2 linked regions of the Coturnix japonica genome follow. The protein of the gene in region 2 interacts with the protein of the main gene of each other region in a biochemical or structural test. Links are inferred from orthologs where the notes say so. Each region holds a gene or a part of one and is shown on either strand. Other genes may lie near its edges.

Region 1 (5,669 bases), on a different chromosome or scaffold from region 2:
ACAAGAGTTTAACATTTTGCTCTTCCCCTGATTGCAATAAAACATCATGACTGAAAACGGTTTATTAAAAAGAAATTCAACAGAAAACTAATTTAGAGGTAGACAGCACTCATGTTTTAGGATTAGATTTTTTGGTGGTACATGATTTTTAGGGGGTTGGAACTCGATGCTCTTCAAGCCATTCTATGATTCTATGATTAGGGAGACTGTAGCTATGATAGCAAGCAAAAAAGAATAAAACCAGCCTTTTATAAGTCCTACTCCACCCACATATTTCTTATAAACTTACTGCTATAAAAGCACATGTAAAAATCATGATCTTAAAATAAAACTCATTCCACAAACTCAGTGGAACATTTTTTTATTACAAAATATAAGCTCACACTGAATAGACACGTTTCCAGATGTTTAGTGAGTTAAACTGTCTGTGTCTGTCATACCAAGACATGCCAAAGACCCAGTAAGAGCGTGAACTGTTCATACACTGACTGGATGTAATGATGTGACTAATCCACCTCTTTCAGTAGGGATGGCAATTTATACCATAAGCAAAAGTTGTTATAATAAAAGTGCAATATTTAACTTAAAATGAAGTTGCATCATAAAATCCAAGTACGCACATTCCTATAAGCATTCTATCTCCACATGCAATGGGCATTTCCTCTGAACTTAGCCCCAGGTCTTTAATTAATAAATACTGATTATCTGATAATTCATTAGAAGAGAAAAGCAAACGAGAAAGCTGAAAGAAGAAAGCTTATGAGGAGGCTGTATTTCAGAAATAAGTTGATAAAGTAACTTGGCAAATTACATCATAAAGAGGCCCTTGCCTTTATCCCAAGCCTCTTTATAGTACTCACACAGAGGAAAACAGATTCTGCCCCAAACAGCAAACACTCAAACAACGTGAGTTTGCCATGTAACCAGCTCATTTGCTTGCAAAACTCAGATAGCCTTGTGAAGGAAAGCAGAAAAAAATATCTTACAGTGATTACAATTACTGGTAGGTTCCATAGCATATCCACATCTTCGAATAATACTTTATTCGAAGTCTTCCCTTCAAGAAGTAGTGTCCTAAACAAGGACCCTCATTTGCTCTTAGACGTTTAAGTCTAACTTTATCTAATTTAATGTTTTATTATTCTGAAGACACAGCAATTCCCACTGAAATTAGAGTTCTGATTTTTATTCGAGAATAAAGACCTGATATACCTTCTATGGACAAATTTGTCTATAATTTGCAGTAAGATTCAAAAGCCTGACATAACACATCCAATGACTTCCCCCCACCAAAAAAAAAAAAAAAAAAAAAAAAGGAGGAAATTAATCCTATTGACAAGAGCCTCAATCTACAGCAATCTGTGATTGTGCACTCTTTTTTCTTCTTCTTTTTCTTCTTTTTCTTCTCTCTCTCTCTTTTTTTTTTTTTTTTTTTTTTTTTTCCCCCCAAAAAAAAAAAAAAAAAAAAAAAGGAGTGAATTAGCTAAGGTTAAAGATACACTGAATTACACAGTGAAGTGATTCAGTGTTTTACAGCAGTTTTCAGCAGTCAATATTATTACATCCCTTCATTGTGAAGCATCAAAGCTACAAATGTACCCTGCCCTCAGAAAGAAAGTAGAAGCTATCCTTGGATTTTAGCACTAAACTTCGCTTTCCAGTCCCTCCTTATCCTGTTCCTCGTCTTTAAAAGGAGTGGCTAACATCCCCGTCCAAGGCAAGTATTTCAAAGGACGGCTGTCACAACTGCTGTGCAATTGGGAAATCCAAGAGCCAAATAGTAAATAATAAATTACCTCACTGGCTTTCGTCTGCCATCGTTAGGCTTGTGGGGGGGCACATGTTTGTAAATGTTTGCTGGCGTGCAGTATGATCCATTCTGGGCTCAGAACAGCCCCTCAGAGTCAGGCAGACAGATGCCACTGAGCCGCTAGCTATGATGAACCCACCGTCACAGCATGAAAAGCAGCTTCTCTGATATATCTTAACAGTTACACTTCCATACACTCTGCCGGTTTAAACCAAACAAATGTCCTCTTTTGATGCGGTTCCAAGAGAACAGGGAAATACGTGCACGGTATAGAGACAAGGCCAGCAGGACCCAGGTCCTCACCCTCCTCAGCAACTCCACCACGCAGCTCCACTCGGACGTTTCACATTCAGTCTTTGACATGCCAGCGCCCTGCCTCACTGCCTCCTGCTGCGGCCAAATCCTCAGCTCCCCCTCGGACCCACATCCCACTTTTGGAGTGCAACCCGGTGCCCGGCGGCTCACACCTGCCCTCTCCCCAGGGCCGGCCTCGGAGCCCCTCACGTCACTGCTTCGGAGCTGCCGAACTCCGCGGGCCGCGCCCGGCCCCGCCGCCTGGGCAGCCCCACTACGGCTGTTACACCGACTCCTTGCCCTGGGCAGCACAGCCAACCTGCCGGGCCGGAGCCTCGGGAGCGGTGCTCGCCACGCCTTTCTCCTCACGGGAACGTGGCAGCGGCGCTGTAAAGCCTGCCCGGGACGTCCAGGGGCACGGGTGAGGTGTGTGTGGAGGGGTGAAAGCCGCAGGGTAGCCCGGTGGCCCTTCGCTCTAAGTTTGCTCCCGCCCCGCGGTCTTGCTCGCCCCTCAGGCAGCCCGCCGGGACCCCCGCCGCCCGCACTGGGTGCCGCTTGCCGTACTTACCTTGTCCCCGGAGCGCAGGCAACAACGCCAGGAGCAGCAGCAGCAGCCTCAGCGGCCGGGCCCCGCGGAGCTTGTCCATCGGCCGGCGGGAGCACTCGCACCGAGCGGGGCTTGGCTCTCCCCGCTTCTCGCTCGCCGCCGTAGCTGCTGTGCCTGAGGTTATCCCAGCCGCCTGAGACCGGTTGGAAAAGAGCTCGGAAGAACCCCCCCCCCCTACACACACACACTCGGTGGGCTTTACAAAGATTTAATTCACTGCCTCCCCCGGTTAATTACACAGCCTGCAAGTGCTCAGCAGAACTGAGCGGCACCGCGGCTCGGAGGCAGAGCCCCTGTTGTGCTGATACCCCTACTCTCTCCTCGCCACCCCCACACAGGCTGTAAATGCGACTCCCTTCGGCTCGGAAAACTTTACAGATCCTCAGAGTGAACCTAGGGACGGCCTGACTGATTGTGTGAGCGAGAAACGCAGCGAGTTCTGTCGGAGCCAAGTGGGAGAAAGCCACAAACAAAGGCAAAGCAGAGGAAAAACAAAAGAAACCACCTAGCAGGGGAGGAAAGGTTTAACCTCTGGAGAGGAGATTTTTCAACACTCCCCTCCCCTTCCCCCTTCCTTGGTCTTTCCATGGATTTTGCTTTGCAATAACTTTTATTTTTCCAGTGCAAAGGATTTTAAAAAGGAGAGACATTCTAGAATTTCTAAACAAGCTTCGCTGGGGGTGTGGGGGGAGGAGGGGGGAAGACAAACAAACAAATCAACCCCACCGTTCTTACTTCTGGTAAAATACCAGGATGAGAATTTCTACCCAGCTCTGCTCTGTCGACCCCCACCTCCATTATCTTATTTAAACAGGAACACAAACACTGATAGTGGTCAAAGGCAGAGCTGGGTTGGAGGCACTCAGTTGGCTATGTCGCTGCCAAGATCTTTCAGATAACATGGGAACAATGTTTACGTGCAAAAACATGTGGAAACAAACAGGGAGTTCATCGCTCCACTCCACTTTGCAGTTGGTTTTACTCAGGAATAGCTGTAAGTTTCTTTATGTTTGCTTGGCAGTTGTGCCACAGGGGACTCTGATTGGACTATTTGTCTTGTGAGCACTCAGTGTGCCTGAGTATCTCTCCTCAAAACATCCAACTGGAAAACAGCATTTAAGACGCATTAGAGTTGAAAGCATGCAGATTTCTTTCTGCCTCTGGTGACTTGGTCTTTTCTCTCTTGTGGCCATGAGTTCAACTAGCCGAACAGCTTGCTTTCAGCAATGGTTTCAAGTGGTCAACTGAGGAAGGACAAGCTCAAGGAAAGCCTTCTCTCAGTTATCCTGCCAGCCTCCAGCTGCATTGAGTTTGGAACATTTCCTCAGAGCAATGTAATTTCTGTGTACTTAGTAGACCTCGGTGAATTCCTATCCCAGGTATTTATCCAGTCTCACCATGAGTTCTCGTAAACCTTTATCATCCGAAATATCCTTTGGCAACAGATTTACACTGATCTTCCACTGCTTGTGTGAAAGTCCATTTTTTTCCCTCTGCACCCAGCTTCATCCATCTTCTGCTGGTGCCTCCTCACTGCTGCAGGAAGACACATGAAAGAACTGAGCCCTATCCCCACTCCTCATGCCATGGATATCCTGCCCACCAGGTCATCCTTTCTGTGACCACTGTTTCTTCCTCCCCTCCCCCTAATTTTATTTTTTTCTTCCCTCCACCCCCCATTTCATTTGTATGGGGCAGTTAAAAAAAGGTGAGGGAGGACAGAGGACTAACTTTATGCAGGGGTATCTTTGCTTGCCTTTTCTACACACATCCCCTCTATTTCTGCCTCTTCTTTAAATGCCCTGCTTTCAAGTCTTCTTGCATCAGTTACAGTGGGACTTTGGCAGTTTCTTCACCACCTCCCAGCTGCTGTTTTTAACACATAGACAGCCTCAGGAGGCAACTAACAAAGATCACACCTTGTCTAAATTTTGCACCAGCTTAACTGGAATAGCTGTGTCTCCTTTACAGAAACCCTAGAGTCAGTTCCACAGTGGCTTATTTCACATTACTTTAAACCTGCTTCTAACCGATAAAAGATGAAAATAAAGAAGTTCACCAGTTTTACTGAAGCAATATAAAGTCACACATAATAGCTAGTCCACACAAGGGCTTACTCTGATTAACATCATCTGTAGAGTAAGAATTCCTTCTTCCTGCTTGGTTTGCCACCACAAGTTGATTACCAGGAACGAGGCAAACTCAACTAAGAATTTAAGAAATATTTCCAGAAACCTTCACAGCTACAGCCATCTGAAGATCTGATAATAGTCCTTGGTTGCCTTTTTCATATTAATTTGTATCTCCAGTGTATAAATTGGCCCTCTCACCTACAGTCAGATTCAGTGGCTTCAGGTACATGTGATTCTAGTTACTGACCCCAAGCTTTGTAGTGAGCTAAACCATGCACTTGGGGCTCAATTCAAAGCTCCTGGAAGTCCATTGAAAGTAAAGGCTTATGAGAGGGAACATTTTGCACAACCACATTTTTTTTTCTTGCATCTGTTTGCGAAAGCCTTGTAATCCTTTGTGTAGCTTTTAAAACAAACAAATTCTTTAATGAGGATTGTATTTTTACTTCAGAAGAATAAAAATAATTTGCGAAAGCTCAGATTAATGAGTAATGACAGTGTAACAAATCATTGCATAAGCCATTTCCAAGGGTCTTGTTGCAAGTAGATACAATCGAGAAGAATGACAAAGAATTCTGACTTGCTCCAACAAATCCATTACCATCTATGGCAGCAGGTTCACAGTTGTCATTTTTCTACATAGTTTAATGGAAACAGCAGTTCTTGCAGTGGCTTTAAAAGGCCTGTGTAAGGCCTGGTGAACAAAGGTTACCCATGAGGAATAATACTCTATAACTCTGTTATGAATGCACAATGATTAAGCAAAGTCCATGGAGTCCATCTCCCTGCATTAAATAAGACCCCAAACTCTACAGTAAGCAAATCC
Region 2 (5,180 bases):
GTCACTGAATTTTTGACCTGACTATTTGGGGAGGTAAGGGGGGAAGATAACTGAGCTATAGAAAAAGTTATTTGCTTTAAATGAATACATCATAGGGCAAGAAATTAATATTTGTGATCTCACATGCCTCCAGCAGTTGACTATATAAATACTGCTAACCTCACGTTTCTATTGGTGAAAAATCTAGAAGACCTGCAGGACACTCTAAACTCAAATCTTCAGACCTACCTTCTTTTGTCCAAAAAATCATTTCTTCCTTATTCCAGTGAGAGTGTTCAAGATTTATTTGTGAAGTATTTCCAAAACTGTTATTTAATGAACTTACTTTGCTAGAACTTTGTTGTGGTAATTGATACTTTTAAGTAACTGCTAAAATGCATCAATCCATACAAAACGGCTGAATATACAGAAAGAATGAAAGGAAAAAAAGCAGATGAGGAATACTACAGCAAGATGTCAGCAAGAACTTTCTTTAAATGAACATACATACCTCTTTGGAGTAAGCTCTGTGAATAGTGTCTGCTTGTTAAAAGAAACGATTGGAAGCACTATTCTAAGCTACTGTACAGTGAGTGCCCACATCGTCCTTTTCTCTGCTTGATCTAATTTGCTTGCTGACAACAGGACAAAGTTATTATTGGAGTTGCTTATGACTGCATGGACAAGATGGTTTACTGGACAGACATCAGTGGTCCATCGATCAGTAGAGCTAGCCTACATGGTGGGGAGCCAACGACCATCATCAGAACAGGTAACAGCACCAAGTTCTTCCTACTTCCTATTAATGCCATTAAAGACATGAATTAGATAATTCATAGGTGTTATTTGATCTGCAGCCTTATTACAAGTGAAGGTTACTCAAATAAAAGATACCCAAAAGCTTTGGTGACTTAAAATGAAGAAGGATCTGTTTCCTGTGTAGTAGCACTTCATTGCAGTGCTTACACTACATTACAATTTGGGTTATGGTTTTGATGACTCTTTAATGTAGGAAAATCATGAAAGCTTTTCATCAGTCAGTGGATGTGCAGACAAAGGTGATCCAGTAAACACTGTGTAACTGGATTTTGTGAAGCTTTTGTAAAGTTCTTTGCAAGGGACCTCTGAATAGGTCTGTAATAGTTCTCTGCTGAACTGACACTTTGTTATTGACTGACTAAAAGATAAGTAACAAGAGTAGCAGCAAATTGCAGGTGTTCATGATGGAACTGGGGTATCTAAGGCTTAGAGCATTTAAAATATGAAAACATTTCTTAAAATGTTAAGAAGGAGGGACAGGTTTAGGGAACCAAGTGAATGTGGAACTTGGGGGGGGGGGGGGGGAGAACAAACAAACAGCAAAAGAAGCTAGAGGGAAGCACTTTTTTTATACTCATTCACATCCCTGGGATCCTAGAATACTTGTAAAGTACTAGAGTTTCTTGCTTTTTATCTTTCCCAGGTACTGTCATTGAAATGTAGGAAATTAATTTAGCAAAATAATCAACAAGTTCTAAAACTCTACAATAAATTTGCTTTGGTTTTCTTTGGATGTGTTGCAAATTTCTACTTGGAGTAGAAATATGCTTCAGAATAGCCAGTTTGTTGTTACTCCATTTCAGCTCTCAGGGGCAATGGAGAGAGGGGAGCAGCTTGGATTGTGCTTTTGTCCTGGGAAGGGTTAAGGGAAAACTTAAAGCCATCCCTAATCACAGCAGCAACTATTTCTGTACAGCTTAGCTGTATTTCTATACAACTTGTTGGCTGAGGAATTTGTAGAACTTCCTTTTAATCCTAACATTTTTAATTTAAGAGTGCCTCTAAAACAGTGTAGGCAGTGAATGCATATGCATGTATAACTACAGCATCAATGGGGAAAGGATCTCCAGTCTCTACCATTTGAGGATCTACTCTTCAGGGACTTTGTCATATTGTGCACTTTAAAAAGTGAAGGAAATTGCTATTGCTAAAGATTTTGTATATGTATGAATTGTTCTAATGAGACTGTGTGTGTGTGTGCTTCGAAAGCCTTGCAGTATATAAAATGTTTTTGGAATATTTGTGAAGGTTTTCTACTAAATTGGATTATTTTAGGTAACTCAGAGTGCCTACAATGTACCACTGCTGCATGGGAACCTTGTTTTTATCTGCTACAAAAACCACCTCAGAAATTATGAGATATTTTTCCATATATTGCCTTGTCATGGGATGTGTTCAGTGCTTCTGAAGAGATGTTGAGCAATGTTTCTTTTTACTTCCTGCGTGGAAATGTTAACTGGATTTTTAATACAGAGTCAGAACAATTTATGGCTGAATATTCAGTATTGAATAACTCTGTGGTACTCAAAACTGGACCTTTAAAATTTCAGTAAATGGGAAAATGCCTCGCTCTTAGAAAGCTCATAAGAATTTATTATTTTGTTTTGATCTTTGCCTTTTTCCTCTGGAGGGCTGCAGCTGCTTTCTTCAGTTCTCACGTATTTTTGTGGAATGCACTTTTTTTTGTTGTTGTTGTTAAAGCTCTTGCAATCCAAGTTGAATTGTTCTGCAGAAACATGTTTTATTGTGGAGCCCCATCCAGTTCCCATCTATTCCTGCAGCTGTGTTGCCTGTGGAGGCTTTCTGAGCTCTGCAGCTGTGGGGGCAGGTCAGAAAGGAGAACTTCCATCTTTGTTGCAATTGCTTAAATTATGTTAGTTGTCTATCTATACAAGCCTGTCTGTTTCCAAAGAGTAGAGCCTGTGACTGTACCAGCCTTGATGGCAGTGCAGTAGGGGCACGTCTGTGTCAGTGATGCCTGTTCTTCACAGGGATCGTTTGTGTCACACACTGTTTAATGGCTTTCATAAATACACTTGAAAATTAGTAGAACACTCATTTGCCACATTCTTTTGTTGCAGGGCATTTAAGTGATGTGTAGATCCACATTTGAAAGATTTCTTGAGAGCTGGCTGGTATGAGGGGTCACTGCCTGTTTTGGGAGTGACCACATGCAATTCTACTTATTCTGGAACTGAAATCAGACTAGAAGTGATCTGTAGTGGCTTTGGCCTCACAACATCCCACACAGCCTTCATGCTCCTTTTCAATTAATGGATGAATGTTGAAAAGCATAGAAGCAGCTTTTCCACAGTGGCTGAATTAAACCTTGAAGAGCTATATATTTATTATGCATCTTTCATGCGAGTTAGGAATTACTAATGCTAAAGCAGAAAGGATGTTATCTGTTATTTCCTGTTGTTTTTGGAACAACTAACTATCCAAGACAAATAGTGCACATACAGTACTAAAATATGTTCCAAAAAGGATTGCTGTGCAAAAACAAAGAACAGGATCTAAATTCCATCAGTTAACTAATAGCATTATCTCTAGTGCTTCAGAGCATGCTTTCTGTATTGCTTTGGCTAAGCTTATTAAAAATCCAGTTTTCAAATGAGTGCTACTTACCAAAGAAGGGGGAATATTAAATAATATATTAAACACTATAAAATAATTCTGGATCCTGACTTGCTATGGATGGTAGAGTAGGATTCTCATAGTCTCTATTTATTTCCCTGTTATCTACTCTTATTTATTTATTTTTTTCTTTCCTCTTCAAGGCAAGTTTATATTCAGACTTGGGATGTGTGCTGGTTTGGTTCTTATATTTATCATTCAGAAAAACAGTCTGGTATAATGCATAGTATGAAACATAAGTTAGTATCTTAACTCTCTGGGCTATCTGTGCTTTAGCTACATATGACATATAGGTGAAATCTGAGGCTTATTTAAAGGATGTGTTCCCAAGGAGGGAGATGTACTAAGGGAGGCCTGGGGAAAAAGCTATTAAACTTTTCCAACTGATGTAGCTTTTATTGCCTGCAACCAGAAAACTGAAAAAAAAAATAAAATTCTCTGTTCAGAGTTGTGAATGCTTATAAGGTGAATGTTGCTAAGAAATATGATGTCTATGAATATTTTTCTCTTTTCCCTTGCAGACCTGGGAAGCCCTGAAGGGATAGCGCTAGATCATCTAGGTCGCAACATCTTCTGGACTGACTCTCAACTTGATAGAATAGAAGTGGCCAGACTGGATGGGCGCCAGCGTCGCATCCTTTTTGACACTGGCCTGGTGAACCCCCGTGCAATTGTTGTGGATCCTGTGAGAGGGTATGGATACCTTTTGAAAATACGCACGCAAAGCTTAGCCTTTACAGGGGTCAAGTAAATTCTTAGCCTCAGAAAGAGCATTCAAGGGCAAAAAAACCCACCACTGACAAATGGCCATTAATAATAAAGTGTCATTGAATTAATGGCCTTCTCTGAAGTTCACCCCTGACCACAAACTACTCTGATTGATTCCATTGTATAGTGCTTGATGTGCTGCAAAGAAAAACAGGATTTTGAATGAATCCTGCAGATGTGTGCCAAATGTTGCTGCTTCTGCTGCTTAGCCTGCGTAGATATGGGTGGTGGGAGGAGTGCTGTGGTTGTACATTTTAAACAGTCCACAGAACTGCTGAAATAGAATTGGTTTTGCCTGGCATCTAGCACATAACCTAAACAAAGCATGGAAAGCATTTCTTCTTTTAATAAGAAAGAAAAGAATCTCATACAAGAAGTATGTCATTCAGTATATCTTCGGGATGTTTTGTCACTTTGATATTAAAAGGCAATTTGGTGCTTCTTATTAATGCAACTACTACTTTGGCTATGTAGGGTCATTTTTATCCTTACTATTTATTATTTTTTTTTTCCTTGATTACAACAGTCACTTGAGATCAGTCAGTCTTTATTTTTACCTATTTTTCTTCCTCTTAAGAAACCTGTACTGGACTGACTGGAACAGAGAAGCTCCTAAAATTGAAACTTCATACATGGATGGCACAAACAGAAGAATTCTTGTGAAGGATGATCTGGGATTGCCAAATGGGCTGACGTTTGATCCTTATTCCTCAATGCTGTGTTGGGTAGATGCAGGTAAACAGGTGTTGAAGTCTATCTTCATAGTATTAGTATACTACATACATCCAATTCTGAGAAGATGCACAGCCAATTAGTATTTATAGCTCTTTGGGCTACACTTTGATTTCATGCCTTGATTTTTGGCTTTAGTAGAGTCACTTCATTTGTTCGTACTACCTCTGTTGGGTTCTGAGTAAACTGAAAGATTTTAATTCTGACCAAAAAACTGTCTAGTGATGCAGCAGGTATCCCCTCCC

The links.
Region 1: the proteins of NID1 (region 2) and FBLN1 form a complex in vitro, tested with the Homo sapiens proteins (3 studies listed by BioGRID). The link is inferred for Coturnix japonica from reciprocal best matches to the Homo sapiens genes NID1 and FBLN1.

The regions. Positions count from the first base shown.
Region 1 is NC_029516.1:64,805,324-64,810,992, reverse strand, and holds the start of FBLN1 (fibulin-1), read right to left. Parts: upstream 3,266-5,669; 5' UTR 2,752-3,265; coding exon 2,673-2,751; intron 2,134-2,672; exon of another isoform or gene 2,114-2,133; intron 2,070-2,113; exon of another isoform or gene 1,797-2,069; intron 1-1,796. UniProt on the Homo sapiens protein: Incorporated into fibronectin-containing matrix fibers. May play a role in cell adhesion and migration along protein fibers within the extracellular matrix (ECM).
Region 2 is NC_029518.1:34,039,037-34,044,216, forward strand, and holds part of NID1 (nidogen-1), read left to right. Parts: intron 1-624; coding exon 625-751; intron 752-3,956; coding exon 3,957-4,128; intron 4,129-4,780; coding exon 4,781-4,938; intron 4,939-5,180. UniProt on the Homo sapiens protein: Sulfated glycoprotein widely distributed in basement membranes and tightly associated with laminin. Also binds to collagen IV and perlecan. It probably has a role in cell-extracellular matrix interactions.